Linked DNA regions of Sus scrofa. The protein of the gene in region 1 interacts with the protein of each later gene in a pairwise test. Links are inferred from orthologs where the notes say so. Each region holds a gene or a part of one and is shown on either strand. Other genes may lie near its edges. The genes, in order: DACH1, RNF14, FGF12 and C2H1orf35.

What was found.
Region 2: the proteins of DACH1 (region 1) and RNF14 interact in binary tests that used the Homo sapiens proteins (3 or more experiments, as listed by UniProt). The two-hybrid records come from large-scale screens. The link is inferred for Sus scrofa from reciprocal best matches to the Homo sapiens genes DACH1 and RNF14.
Region 3: the proteins of DACH1 (region 1) and FGF12 interact in binary tests that used the Homo sapiens proteins (3 or more experiments, as listed by UniProt). The two-hybrid records come from large-scale screens. The link is inferred for Sus scrofa from reciprocal best matches to the Homo sapiens genes DACH1 and FGF12.
Region 4: the proteins of DACH1 (region 1) and C2H1orf35 interact in binary tests that used the Homo sapiens proteins (3 or more experiments, as listed by UniProt). The two-hybrid records come from large-scale screens. The link is inferred for Sus scrofa from reciprocal best matches to the Homo sapiens genes DACH1 and C1orf35.

The regions. Positions count from the first base shown.
Region 1 is NC_010453.5:43,799,741-43,803,307, reverse strand, and holds part of DACH1 (dachshund homolog 1), read left to right. Parts: intron 1-3,043; coding exon 3,044-3,187; intron 3,188-3,567. UniProt on the Homo sapiens protein: Transcription factor that is involved in regulation of organogenesis. Seems to be a regulator of SIX1, SIX6 and probably SIX5.
Region 2 is NC_010444.4:143,577,844-143,581,410, forward strand, and holds part of RNF14 (E3 ubiquitin-protein ligase RNF14), read left to right. Parts: intron 1-91; 5' UTR 92-272; intron 273-1,633; exon of another isoform or gene 1,634-1,913; intron 1,914-2,080; 5' UTR 2,081-2,088; coding exon 2,089-2,242; intron 2,243-3,318; coding exon 3,319-3,470; intron 3,471-3,567. UniProt on the Homo sapiens protein: E3 ubiquitin-protein ligase that plays a key role in the RNF14-RNF25 translation quality control pathway, a pathway that takes place when a ribosome has stalled during translation, and which promotes ubiquitination and degradation of translation factors on stalled ribosomes.
Region 3 is NC_010455.5:129,241,828-129,245,394, reverse strand, and holds part of FGF12 (fibroblast growth factor 12), read left to right. Parts: intron 1-3,255; coding exon 3,256-3,374; 3' UTR 3,375-3,567. UniProt on the Homo sapiens protein: Involved in nervous system development and function. Involved in the positive regulation of voltage-gated sodium channel activity. Promotes neuronal excitability by elevating the voltage dependence of neuronal sodium channel SCN8A fast inactivation.
Region 4 is NC_010444.4:51,238,476-51,242,558, reverse strand, and holds C2H1orf35 (multiple myeloma tumor-associated protein 2), read left to right. Parts: upstream 1-1,233; 5' UTR 1,234-1,284; coding exon 1,285-1,378; intron 1,379-1,484; coding exon 1,485-1,635; intron 1,636-1,777; coding exon 1,778-1,823; intron 1,824-1,918; coding exon 1,919-1,998; intron 1,999-2,213; coding exon 2,214-2,286; intron 2,287-2,387; coding exon of another isoform or gene 2,388-2,452; coding exon 2,453-2,538; intron 2,539-3,131; coding exon 3,132-3,257; intron 3,258-3,342; coding exon 3,343-3,400; downstream 3,401-4,083.

The DNA.
Region 1 (3,567 bases):
ATTGCTTATGGTGTTTAATGCATTCATAATTTTAAGATAAGAAGGAGCTCTGATAAGATGACAGCCATGAAGAAAATTTTTGTATTCATTCACAATTGCCCTTTGAAAAACTTGAGTTAAAGTCATAAAGCTAAAATAGAAAATACTGATTATTCAAGCGAAGCAGATTTAGTGAGATATTTATCAACTGAAATGGAAGGCTGATGAATATCTGAACAAATGACCAAAGTTGAGTGTTTGTATAATTTTCTTTCTGAATGCCTCATTTTCATCCAACAAGGTCAAGTACACATCAGAGTAGAAACTGATAGGAATTTTTAGTGAGTAAAATAATGATATTATCAATCTACGAATTGCTTCTTTTTACACACTTTACAGTGCATGTATAGAAAAATTTGAAGGTCATTCATATTTTTAATGTTTATTTTATGTATGAGATTGAAGAGTATTTTCTTTACAACCAACTTCCTCTTCGTCTCAACTCAAAGATTCTTCTCAGGATTCTAGAAGGGGGAGCTCTGTTTCTCTCATTGAATAAGTATGAGATATAAACACTCCACATTTTCTCATTTTATATGTTTGACATGGTCATTTAAAAAAAAGTTTCTGTTTTGCTCTCAAAACTGGAAGGAGTTAGGTTTTTCATTACTTACTATGAAGCAAAAGCTAGTGGGTACCTGGGAAGAGGCTGGTTTGGGAAGCTTTCACTCCAGGTATGTAGCACACTTGTAAATTATGTGATTTCGCATAGATTTAGGTACTGGAGTAATCAAAACAAGATGGACAGTGAAAAAGGGAATAATGAGTATGGTCAAAGAGTTCATTCTGTGGTGCTGTTTTCCATGAGATAGCCCTGTCTTGATTTTATTCTCATCTAGAGAAGTCTTTTTTTTCCCACAAGACTTATTATTATTATTATTATTATTATTATTATTATTATTATTATTATTATTTTGTCTTTTTAGGGCTATACCCATGGCATATGGAGGTTCCCAGGAGGCTAGGGGTCAAATGTAGCTGTAGCTACTGGCATACACCACATCTATAGCAACAATAGATCTGAGCTGCCTCTGATACCTACACCACAGCTCATGGCAATGCCGGATCCTTAACACACTGAGTGAGGCTGGGGATTGAACCTGCATCCTCATGGATACTAGTCAGATTCGTTTCCACTGAGCCTTGACGGGAACTCCTTTTTCCATAAAACTTAAAAGCAGACACTTGAATTTCTAACATAACCTTTTGGTTACTCAAGAGATTCTCAGAATTTTGTTGGTTTCCATCTATTGAAGGATTTTTATTCTTTTAGTCACTAGAGGTAGAGGGCAATACATTTTACAGGTCACATCATGAACCTCACATTTTAATTAATTGTTAACAATAAATTATAGGTAATAACAATCAATAATTATCTATTATGAAAGTGTCTGTCGAAGCAGTGTATTACCCCGAAGAGAGAACATGGTGATCCCATTTGGTTCAATCTCATTGAAGGAACCATGAGCAGTCAATGGCAAGGCCCTGGGTATTGAACTTTTAGTGCTGTAGGAGTGAACAATCCAAATAAATAATTCAGAAATCACTGTTTCTTTTCAAAAAGACTGATATGCAACTGTCTTTGGAAAGGGAAATTATAGGCAAGTAATTTTGCTAAGTATATTATTTTCACACTTAAATAAAGAAAATTAGCATTTATTTGAAACCAGGTTTTGTTTATCTACTAAATGTAAATTTTGATTAAAAAAATAGTTTCTGTTACTATCTAATACCAGCAACAGTAAACTCAACAAGTTAATTGTTTGCCATCTTAACAATGTTAATAATTATAAAAACAGGATTTTGGGAAATTAGAAATTGAAACTAAAATTCTTACATGAACCATTATTACCTGATTTTATATTTTAGCTAAATGCTGTGCTACATAAAAATGTTTTTCTTTTATCTGTAGTAAGAAATTTAGCAGTAAATTTGGAATGATTACTTCTTCTGACTAATGTTACCAGGAGGTTTTTCTCACACTGATTCTGTTACATTCACACTTACAATATTTATCAACTATTCAAAAAGAAATTATCTCAAAGAAAATATTTGTATGCTTTCCATATGCTGATTGTTTACTTTATAGTGTAAAAGTTAAAACAGTGATTAATTATTTTATGTATGAGAGTACAATTAACATATATTTCATGAAGGACATTTGTTGTTATTTATTGATACATATTGTATACAAACATTTAAATTCCCAGTAGGAGAAAATTGCATCACAATTAACTTTTTGTATCATAATCTACTTTTTTTATATAAGTAGGAGTGAGGTTTTATACTCCATTAGATTTCTGCAGAGTAAAAGTATAACTTTCTTAATATAGGTTATAGTGCCTATACATTTGCTATGAAGAAATTATTAACATCTCTAAGCAAATCACAATAGCTTTATCCAAAAAATTCTGCTTATATATGTTAACAATAATTAAGAGTATTTAGCTCCTCATATGCATTAAATTTATTTCATTTTCTAAAATTTCAAGAAATAATTATTAAAAAATTTGCTGTTGTCACATTTTTGTAAAGCATTTTGTGAAGCATGTTTGTAAAAGGGGAAACGTATTACCCAAAACTGATGCTTCATAAAGAGATAGGAATCATGCTTGTAAAAGTTTACACTATTCAAAACTGCTTTGCATTAATCTGATTTAAGGGCAGAAACTAAGCCAAGAAATTTAATCAGGCTTTCTTTAATGGTGAATATAAATATTTATTAAAATTAGTTTTTCATTAAATGTGTCTCTATGTATGACAATTAAAGGCATTCTTGTAGTAGTTCAAGGCTAAATAACCATTGGCCTCCTTGAACATTTCACTGAGATTTATTTTAGGCAAAAGTGAGTTTGTCGTTTTGATTTTTTTAGACTTCTGCATATATGTGTGCAGTCCAGCGGGGCAGGGGGGGGAGATTATTGGGAGAAAAATAGATCATTTGTAGAAATTTGAACATTGCAAAAATTTTTAAAAATAATAATGTACAAACACTCTTTTCTAGCCATAGTTCAAAAAAGGCTAAAGAAGGAGAAGAAGGCAAAGAGAAAATTGCAGGAAGCACTTGAATTTGAGACAAAACGGCGTGAGCAAGCTGAACAAACACTAAAACAGGCAGCTTCAACAGATAGTCTCAGGGTCTTAAATGGTAAGAGGGGGCATCTTTATGCATGGTTAAGTAATTTTCATTTTGAATACTCAAAAGACACATTTTTGTGTTTGTGGTTTTGAATATTTCTATAGCTTGTGGTTCATTAAACTCTGCTTGTAGTTGAAAGCCCGGTAGGAAGAATAGTCACATGTGTTGGATGAAATGCTTTATTTCATAGGTGCTTCCACAGTTTTATTTCTGTATCTGAGCCCTGACATTGCTTTTCTATTTAACCAAATCTGTCTGTATCAAAACATAATAAAATATTAATCTGAGAACTTCCCAAACCCCATCCCATTTTCATGAACAATTTTGCATTATTTATCCATTCAAATCTTTTGATAATTCTCATGGTTATCATCTTTGTTCAACCTTTA
Region 2 (3,567 bases), on another chromosome or scaffold:
AGCTATAGATGAGGATTGACCGTGTGTTTAAATTCCGAATTTAAACTTGGAGAGGGTCCTAACACCATCTTTTGTAATTTTTTTTCTGCAGATGGCAGGCTTTCTCTGGTGTTTCTAGTATGAATTCCACATCTCGGCCTTTTATCCAGCTCCAGCAGTCTCAGCTCCATCATCTGGAGGACAAATGAAATTTGCATGAGTTGCAAACTCTTGAGCTGAATGAAATACGGACTGCAGTGCTAATATCCTTTTCTTCTAGTTGTTATTAACAGGTACTAACTGACCTCACACAGAATATGTCACCGTGTCTTTTTTTTTTTTTTTTTTTTTTTGCCATTTCTTGGGCTGCTCCCATGGCATATGGAGGTTCCCAGGCTAGGAATCGAATCAGAGCTGTAGCCAATGGCCTACACCACTGCCGCAGCAACACAGGATCCAAGTGGCATCTGCCACCTACACCACAGCTCATGGCAATGCCAGATCCTTAATCCACTGAGCGAGGCCAGGGATCGAACCCGCAACCTCATGGTTCCTAGTCGGATTCGTTATCCACTGAGCCATGACGGGAACTCCTGTCACTGTGTCTTAAACAAGGACATGGTTTAATCAGAACCATTATCTGCTGGAAAAATAAACCTTTTGAAGATGGACATTTTGAATGAATTCGTCTAAATTTTATAGTGTCATCTTTGATAATGTGAAAAAGCATGTCCTAACTTTGCTTTGTGCGTTTCAGTTTAGAAAAACATTTCAGCCGAGAGGGAGCGTATTTGCCCCTGCCATTATCGTTGAGTGTTTTAATTGACGATGATAATTTGGGGTTTGTTTTGTTAACTTTCACAGAGTCTCACTACATATTTTTCGTACGTTTAAATTACCTGACACGGTGGCACATCTTTTCGTTGCTGCGATTAAAAAAGCGTTGCTTCACACTTGACGTGTAGTATATTTTCACTGTTGATGTTACCTAAAATGATGATAAATCTTAAAAGTGACGTGACAGAATTTGGCGTGATTTCAGAAATGTAATGTTATTTTGCTGCTTCTTTCGTTTTCTGTCTTACATGGCGGCTGTCCCTGTTTGGAACAAGTAGGTCTTGCTTGTGGGAGGCTGTCCTGAGCATTCCAGGGTGTGTAACAGCAACCCTAAAACAGCCTACTAGAGGCCAAGAGCATCCTTTTCCCACAAGAGTTGTGACAATCAAAACCATCTCCGGGCGCAGCCAGGAATCTCCCACTGGGAGAGGGAAGAAAACCGCCCCCAGCGGCGCACACCCTGTTCTGGAGAATGCCCTTGTCCTTGCCCTTGCCCTTGCCATTGCCAGAGGCACTGAGGTTGAGAGAACCTGCCCTAGAGATGCCTGTGGGTTTGAAAAATTGATTCATTTTATTTTTATTTATTTTTTGGTCTTTTTGCCTTTTCTAGGGCCGCACCCGTGGCATAGGGAGGTTCCCAGGCGAGGGGTCTCATCGGAGCTGTAGCCGCCAGCCTACGCCAGAGCCACAGCAACGCGGGATCCAAGCCGCATCTGCAACCTACACCCCAGCTCACAGCAACGCTGGATCCTTAACCCACTGAGCGAGGCCAGGGATCGAACCCACAACCTCCTGGTTCCTAGTCAGATTCATTAACCACTGTGCCACAATGGGAACTCCCCAAAACATTGATTTATTTTAAAGACGCCTATCACCTATGCTTGGACTACTTTGGTGAGCAAGGCACTTGGCTAGGTGTAGTGGACAAGTCAAGGTAATGTGTGATTGGTCCTTTACGATTTTTTTTTCGGATGGTCTTTTTTCCCCTGAATCATACCTAACTGATAAAGTCAGCAGTCGGAGGCACCACAGCCGTCCTTTGTGGAAAAGGCTGGTGCTGTTGCAGAGCTTCTGGAACATGAGCCCTGCCTGGCATTGTTAGTTTGACAGAAGAGTGAGAACATCGGCTGCTCCTCATCCGGTGGCGGCGAGGAGCCTTCTCGGGGGCGGGCTGGGGGGCGGTGGTCGTGCCCTAGACCTTTGCAGACGCTTCCTCGCCTTTCCTGTTCTTAACCGGCTCGAATGCTTGTCTCCCGCTCCTCAGAAAGTTAAATGTCGTCGGAAGACCGAGAAGCTCAGGAGGATGAGTTGCTGGCCCTGGCGAGTATTTATGATGGAGATGAATTCCGAAAAGCAGAGTCTGTCCAAGGTGGAGAAACCAGGATCTATTTGGACTTGCCCCAAAATTTCAAGATATTTGTGAGCGGTCAGTTCATATTATCTTAAACGGATTTTTCTAAATAAAGGTTCTTCTCAATTTCTTAGTGTACCTAAGTTATTTATCATCTTGTGTTTCAAGGCATCAGTGGTAGACGGTAGGGTTGCAGATTTAATGCCTGTTGCTGCCTTCATTGAAAACTGGGCTGGGAGGGAACAGTTTTCAGTTTGATTCCGCCTTTATGACCCTGAACTGGGATATTACCCTGCGTGTTTCTCGCATCCTAATAGGCTCACTAGCACTTCATCAGCTATGAGTCATTGGCTGTTAAATAGGGGTACTAAGAGAGAAAATGAAATAATGGATGTGAAAATACTTGGAAAGATTTAAAGTACTGTGGTGGTGGTGAATAATGTTTGGTTGCCAGCAATTTTTCAGCCACCACACACATATGACAATATGCTGCTACTCTGTGGTCTTTGGCTTCAGAAAAAAAAATTAAAAATTGGTACTTTGGGTAGAAATGTTCACACAGGACATGGATGCAAACTTTCTCAGACGGTTTATACTGTAAAGGCTTTGAGTGAAGAGAGTAAATGTAATCATTTAAGATGAAACTTGGACTGCGAGAGCGTTGTGTGTTGTATCTTGCCCTCAGGTTGACATCACTGTGTTGGCACAGATTCTCCCACCTATGATTCATGGGTAGTTGGCACATGCTGATCTAAGTAGGTCATGGCTCTTTGATTGGAATAAGCGTCCTTTTCTTTAGATTGTGTCTTTAATCATCTACTGTAAAACAACAGCAACAGGAAACATTGTGTATAACTTGCTCCTTAGTGGTGGGAGTTATGCTCAAAAGTGTATCCAAGAATAAGCTGTGTATCTTCATTTTTAATTTCATGATGCGTAGTAGATTTTTTAAGGGCTTACAAGGTTTTTTTTTTTTTTTTTTTTTTTTTTAAGGTGGTGGCTACGAAGTAAAACTAGGAAACCGAAAGGGCTTTGGGGGAGGGTTTTTGTTCCCTCAACTAAAGCGTTAAGAGTTTCTGAGCGCCGCTCAACAGTCATAGACACTCAAGTGCTGATCAACTGCTCCTTTCTAACCTTTGTTTTTGGTTCAGGCAACTCAAATGAGTGTCTCCAGAATAGTGGCTTTGAACACACCATTTGCTTTCTGCCTCCACTTGTGCTGAACTTTGAGCTGCCACCAGATTATCCATCCTCCTCCCCACCTTCATTCACACTTAGTGGCAAATGGCTGTCACCAACTCAGGTTAGACCCGAACCTAATTTCTCCTATCCGTTTTTAGAAACCTAAAAAGTCCTCTTTAAGCGACGGCTACCTTGGTGATCTTGAATTCAGTGCATGA
Region 3 (3,567 bases), on another chromosome or scaffold:
TAAGATTTTTGTGCCATATATTAGATTCCAGATATAGGTGATATGATATGGTATTTGTCTTTTTCTTTCTGACTTACTTCACTTAGTATAAGAATATCTAGTTCCATCCATGGCATTACTTTGTTCTTTTTTGTGGCTATATTACTCTTAATTTTCAAGCTAAGGCATATGAACTAGTTTTTTTTGTGTGTGTGTGTTTTTTTTCCAAACCTGGAATTTTATTATTCCATGTAATGGAAAAAATTGGAAAATTAGTGATTGAGTTGTCCTGGAAGAAGACCAAGTCTCACACTTTGCTCTGACACTAGTGAGTTTCCTTCTTTTTGGAACATTGAAAATTTTTAGATGCCATTTAAAAAAATTCTCTGTGGACTTGATTCTAGGATGGCCAGCAGGGTTAAGTTAGTTATTAGAAAAGTTATCTGCAGTGATAACTATAATGGCAACATTTTTTATGTTGTCACAACTTAAATATTGTATGTGTAAGTGAGAAATGGCAAAAAAAAAAAAAAGCAGATAAAAGTTAAAAACAAATGTCTTGGGTAGAATCTACAACATAAGGAAAGTTAAAAAAAGAAGTTTCAACACAACGAAATTTAGATACCAAAATTATAAAATATATTCTTTGATGGAAATTAAAAGGTTATATCCTTCAAGTACCTCTACGTTGAAGTTTAAAAATTTTTCCATGTCAAAATATATTGTTTTTATTTTTAGAGTTTTTTTTTTCATTCTTTGAGACTAATTAACAGTCTGTAGTCAGGTTTGGGGATGTATATGTTTTCACAGATGATTAAGTGAGAGAGTAGGGAAAACGTCTTTATGGTATTATGTGAATAGCTTTCCAACTGAATTGCTTCATTACTTCTGAGTTCCCCTGTGCACTACGCAGTTATAAATAAATGGCTATATTTTGCACATATAAACATATTATTTAATTTGGGCAATTTTGAAACTTTTCCCATAACAGATATATAGGTAAGAGGCATTAGACTTGAGGAACTTCAAGATTTCAATAGGATCTTACATATAGGTCTTCCGTCTTTTGTCAAAGAAAGGCAGAAACTTCAGTTACCTATTGGCACCATCTGAAAATTATAGGATCAGTTCATTCTAAACTAGTTTATTCTGTACACTTCACTAGTTAAGCTAAAGGCAGTTAGTCCTTTGGTAATATTGAAGGGCCCATTCAGTGCAATAAATGAAATATTTTAAAAATCTCATTTAAAAAAATACATTTATAATAACTGTACATGATATTTGTAATAAATAAGCTTTGTATATATATTTTATACTAGCCACAGTGTGGTTTGATTTTGCCAGCATCATCATCACCTGGGCACTTATTAAAACTGCAGAATCTCTGGAGTTCCTTCCTGGTTCCATGGGTTAAGGATGCCATGTTGTCACTGCTGTGGTTCTGGTTACAGCTGTGACATGGCTTTGATCTCTGGTCAGGGGACTTCCACATACTGCAGGCATGGCCCCGCAAAAAATGCAGAATCTCAAGTCCACTGTAGACCTTCTGAGTCAGAATCTGCATTTTAACAATATCATAGGTAATTCAACTGCATGCTAACATTTAAGAAGCTCTACTACTGAGATGTTGGAAGAGATCTGTCTCCTCATCACTGAACTTGACTGAGGAGCCTACTTATATACCTTAACTTTCTTAATCTAGTTTTGGATTTAGAATATAACTTCAGCCAAAGCAATGTGTCATTATGTTCTCTGAAATCTTTTATTTAAATTCTTTTCTTTTTTTGGTCTTTTTAGGGCCTCACCTGCAGCATATGGAGATTCCCAGGCGAGGGGTCAAATCGGAGCTGCAGCTTCTGGCCTACATCATAGCCACAGCAATGCCAGATCCGAGCTGCATCTGCAGCCTAGACCATAGCTCATGGCAACCCTGGATCCTTAACCCACTGAGCGAGGCCAGGGATCAAACCTGCTTCCTAGAGGACGCTAATCAGATTTGCTTCCTCTGAGCCACGATGGTATTTAAAATTCTTATGAAGAAATCAGCCCCTTCATTTTTCTTATACATCTTGGTATGTTTACTGAATGCCAAGCGCTGACTCCTCATAAAAATGCTGTTTTACAATTATGAAGGTGTATCCAGTTGGACAGTTAGGAAGTGGCTGAATAAGGATGTGGACCCAGGCAGTGTGGCTCCCAGATTTGTGCTCTTAACCAGCATACAACATCTATTCAGTCAAGGCCATGCTGGGGTCTCCAGTACCAGAGCAAAGTCCAAGGAAGAAAGCAATTTGATCGGAAATAGCATTCAGATTACCAACGCATTGTAGTGATGGTTCAATAGGTAGAGATTTATAACTGTTTGTTCCTAAGTCAAGGATGAAAGCACCTCCTCATATTTAAGTAAATATTTCATATACATATACAGTCACATTTGTCCTACAACAATAAAATGAATCAGCCTTAATGTATTTAGTATGCTGATAGATTCTATCTTACAAGAATAACTATGAATTGAAAAACACTCTTCTTCCCATGCAGTAATCTAGCAAGAGCCATGATAATTCACATATGACTGAGCTTTTGAGCCAGACAAAACAATAGAGGATAAAAGGAACTGTTTATATAGATGTGAACTGAAATCTCACAGTTGCATAATCACATTTCTTATTATGAATAACTAAGAAGTCATGGATTGTGTTCATTACCTTAGGTAAAGGAAATCTGTAGAAACTGGGGAAATTACATCTTTTTTCCTTCTCTGCCCTCTCTCCTGTTATCATTTCCTTTGTAGGATACCCTGAAAGTTGGCAATAAATATTTCAGTTTGATACAATGTCATATTCCTTGTAGTAGGGTAAAGATTAAGATCATGTAAATGATCATTTTTTTTCCTACCCAAACTAGATTAAAGACTAAAAAATGAAATATCTCTTTCTAGCATTTAAATGTTATACATCCAATGTCTTTTCTAACTCTAGATGAAAATCCTGTTATATAGGTTAGTAGACAGTAAAGACTTAAGCCTTATCTATAAGGGAACAGAAACCACATATATGGCTGCAATTCAGGAAGACTTAAATGGTTTTGACTGATAGAATTGGAAGAGAATTATGTGCATCCACTAAATATCGTAAGTAAAATTCACTTTTATAGTAGGAAGAAGAGCTAGTGGTGAGAGTGAACACTATTGTAAATCCAAATTTGACATGTTTATTGAGGCCAAATTGATGTCTCCTATTGTAAGGAGTAATTGATGTGCTTTTTGCCTTCCAGTGTGTATGTACAGAGAGCCATCACTACATGAAATTGGAGAAAAACAAGGGCGCTCGAGGAAAAGTTCTGGAACACCAACCATGAATGGAGGCAAAGTTGTGAATCAAGATTCAACATAGCTGAGAACTCTTCCCTGCATCCCTCTCTCATCCTTTCCCTTTCTCCCCCTGCCCTTTACCCATTTCCTTCCAATAAATCCACCCAAGGAGAGGAAAATAAAATGGCAACCCAGGACCTAGTGGCTAAGATTCTGCACTCAAAATTTTCCTTTGTGTAGGACAAGCAAATTGAACCAAAGCTTGCCTGTTGCAA
Region 4 (4,083 bases), on another chromosome or scaffold:
GTCATAGTATATGGTGGGGAAGGTGTTCTGGGCCTGACCCAGTAGGTAGGAGCCAACAGCCTGTGGGAGATGAACCTCCCCCACTCCTGACCCCTTCTGGTCCACTCACCATTCTGTGCGGCTGCACAGGGACATCCTCCCACCCCAATCCATCCCAGCAATGTGTGGCTATGCACTTCCAGGCCCTGCTGACCTCCTCATCTTTGCTCAAGAACGCCCTTAAGCAGTGAGGCAGGTGAGGGAGAGCAAGGTGAAAGACCTCACCCCCCCCCCCCATTATCAGATGAACTCACTGAGCAACCTGCAGGAGGGCCATGTCTTGTGAGAGGACCAGTACTGAAGGGATACAGATAACATGTGTGGCACCGTGTAAATTCCTCAGTACATTCATCTTATGGTTTCAGTTCAGTAGGAGTTGGCCAATGGAGTGGCACTCCTCTCTGCTCATTAGGACCTCTTATGACTGAATCTATTCTGGTCTGCAGTGATGACAAACCGAACACCCTTGCCCAACAACTAGCTTACTATAGATACTGAGCAGCAAAGACCAAAACTGTTGAATGAGGATCGTCTGCCAGTGAACACCTTGAGGGTGACTGAGGCATTTTCTGTGCTCTTTGAGGTATGAGTGCAATGAGGTGTGCTTCCATACTTTTTTGGGAGCCACACAGCTGGTATCCCCAAGGGTGGAGAACAGGCCAGTGCAGGTGCAACCTGACCTTGGTGGCTCCCGGTTTATAAGGTAGGGAAGCTATAGTAGGGAAACAGTTTCAGACATAGTCTCCCCCAGTGCCTACCCCTCTCCCCAGCACAGGGCCAGAAACAGCACACACTAGCAACGATGACTCGGGGGTGTCACCCACACAACGTGACTCGAATTTATTTTTTAGGGCCGGACCCACAGCATACGGAAGTTCCCAGGCTAGGCGTCTAGCAGGAGCTGCAGCTGCCGGGTCTATGCCACAGCCACAGCCTCACCCACACCAGATCCGAGCCGGTTCTGCGAGCAGCTCATGGCCACACCGGATCCTTAACCCACAGATCCGGTCCAAGGATCAAACCCATGGCCTCATGGATACTAGTCCCTTTCATTACCTGTGACCCACGACAGTGGCTTCCAATAATGCGGCGGTATCTGCCGCAGCCTCCGACTTTGGCCAGGGCCACAGCAGTGCGCAGGCGTTAGAGGCAGGCGGGGGCGGTGCAAGCGCGCATGACGTCACTGCGTGCGACGCGGGGTGGAAACGGGGGCCGGTGGGGCCTGGGTAGCGGGAAGCCGGCACCATGTTCGGCTCCAGCCGGGGTGGAGTGCGCGGTGGGCAGGATCAGTTTAGCTGGGAGGATGTGAAGACTGACAAACAGAGGGAGAACTACCTGGGTGAGCGGGGTGCCGGGACCCAGGGTGGCGGCGGGGGTGTCTCTCGGGCTGGAGGTACGCCAACCTGCAGCGCCGTACCGAGGACTCGGCGCTCGGTATCCCGCAGGCAACTCGCTGATGGCCCCGGTGGGCCGCTGGCAGAAGGGCCGTGACCTCACCTGGTACGCCAAGGGCCGGGCGCACGGCGCGGGGTTGAGCCGGGAACAGGAGCTGGAGGCCGTGAGGCAGGCGGAGCAGGAAGCGCTTATGGCAGCGTTGTGAGTGAGCCTCGGGAGCTTGGGGGCGGGGGGGAATTACCTCCTGGTTGGGGGTAGGGCGGAGACCGGGGCTGGGCGGGGGCGGGGGCGCGGGCCGAGGAGAGGCCCGCCACTCTCTGAAGCTCACGCGCGGCCCCCGCAGAGGCTACAAGAACGTAAGGAAGCAGCCCACGGGCCTGAGCAAGGAGGTGAGAGGTGGGCCCTCTTGGAGGACGGGGGCGGGATGGGGCGGGGGGGCAGACCCCACGCTGTGGTGAGCGCTTGCACTCCCCCCCACCCACAGGACTTTGTCGAAGTCTGTAAGCGGGAAGGAAGTGACCCCGAGAAGGGAGTGGACCGGCTCCTGGGCCTGGGCAGCTCCAGGTGCGGGGCTGGGGAGGTGGTCCTCGGGGACCCCAGAAATCGCGAGGGTGCAATTCCCCGGGGTTCGGCGCTGTCAGCCGCCCAGGTGGAAGCCGTTATGGGTCGTCTGAACTCATCACTTCTCTAGGGAGGCCTACGGGTGGGGATGGGGTGGTCCTCGCTGTCGGGAGAGGGTGTCTCACTGTGGGGGGGGGTCCCCACCCGCGTCCCCGCAGTGGCTCTGCAGGGCGAGTGGCGCTGTCACGGGAAGACAAAGAGGCCGCTAAACTGGGGCTTTCGGTGTTCACGGTAATTCCTCCCGACATCCTGGTTATCCCATGTTGGGGTGGGGGTGGGGATGAGTGTCCCTTCCTGTTGAAAGCCGTGGGGCAAATCGTCTCCCCTCGAAGGGACCCTACTGGCTTTCTGGATGGTTCTCAGGCCCGCACACCCCCAGAGTGGCTTTTCTTGGCAGCACCACCGCGTGGAGAGCAGTCGGCCAGGGGTCTCCCTGGCTTCGGCCAAGAGGAAGCCTCGGTCAGAGGAGAAGGTGGAGCCAGGGTAAGGGCTGGATAAGTGGACCCTACCCGTGCTACTAGGACACAGAACTCGGTTCGCTCTGCATGTTGTTTGCTCCACCAGACAGTAAAATTCCTAGCTCCAGCCTTTTTTTGGGGGGGAGCCGCTGGAGGTTGTGAGCCCTGGGGCGGTTCCACTTGCCCCCTGACTCCTCAGTGGGATCAGGGGCCCAAGAGAATGTTCAGACATGAGTCACTTTCCGGGGTCTGGGGCGGGTGGGGTGGTGAACCACTTCCCCTTCCCGTTGCTTTAGCTGCCCAGCGAGGGGTGTGAGTGGCACAGGAGGGGATCACAATTTGGCCCCAAGAGTGCAGGGTGGAGTGGGAGTGGGGAAAATCGCAGTGGGAGGGTTGGAAAGGGGCCATGAGATCGTCAGATTTTCTGCCACGATTGGAATGCAAGTAAGGGTCTGTGCCCCCGACCGTGGTAGTTGCTGGCTACAGGTGGTACTGAGGAGTTGCCCTTAGTGACTTCAGGTTGAAATGGCTACACATGGTTAGTGGCTACTGCAGCAGCCCCATCCCTGGCTAGATTCCAAAGCCCCAGAGGCACTGGCACTTTGTGTCCCCTTGCAGCCCTGAGAGCCACAGGAAGAGCAAGAAAGAGAAGAAAAAGAAGAAAAAACACAAGAAAGAGAAGAGAAAGAAAGAAAAGGAGCATGGGAGGGGGTCACATTCCTCACTGTCCCCTTCTTCCATCCAGTAGGTGCAGCTGCCTGGGGGTAAAGAGGCGGGGAGTACTGGGCAGGCAGGGGCCCTCAAGCCAGGTGTCCCCCGGTCTCCCTAGGCATGATCCCAACTCCTCGCCTTGTTGCAAGAGGAAGCGCCGGCAGGACAGCAACTGAGATCCAGAGATCTGAAGGGCTAGCCTATGGGGATCACCCCAGGCCTCGAAAGAGGCTTAACTGTGGCCTACTACGGCTGCTTTTATTTTTCTTTGTATTGACTCACTCTTTGTACGTAAATAAACTTATTTTAAGTGGAAAGTGTTTCATACTAAAGGGAAGGTTGCTATCATATGTCATAATAGAAAGTGATGTGTGGGAGTTCCCGTCGTGGCGCAGTGGTTAACAAATCCAACTAGGAACCATGAGGTTGCGGGTTCGGTCCCTGCCCTTGCTCAGTGGGTTAACGATCTGGCGTTGCCGTGAGCTGTGGTGTAGGTTGCAGATGCGGTTTGGATCCCGCGTTGCTGTGGCTCTGGCTTAGGCCAGTGGCTACAACTCCGGATTCGACCCCTAGCCTGGGAACCTCCATATGCTGCAGGAGCGGCCCAAAGAGATAGCAAAAAAAAAAAAAGACAAAAAAAAAAAAAAAAAAGTGATGTGTGAAGATGTGATCTCTTGGGTTCTAGCAAGGCTACCTGTGATCCCACTGGGAAGGGCACTGTCCTTTTGGTGGTCAGCATCTCGGAGTCTCATATTGACCAAGAGCCCTGGGTCATGTGTGGCCAGAAGGAGGCCACACGGGTCAAAGGGGCTCAGCTGCAGAGGGGTGAGCATGCTAGGAGGGGCAACCTGAGCTGGGC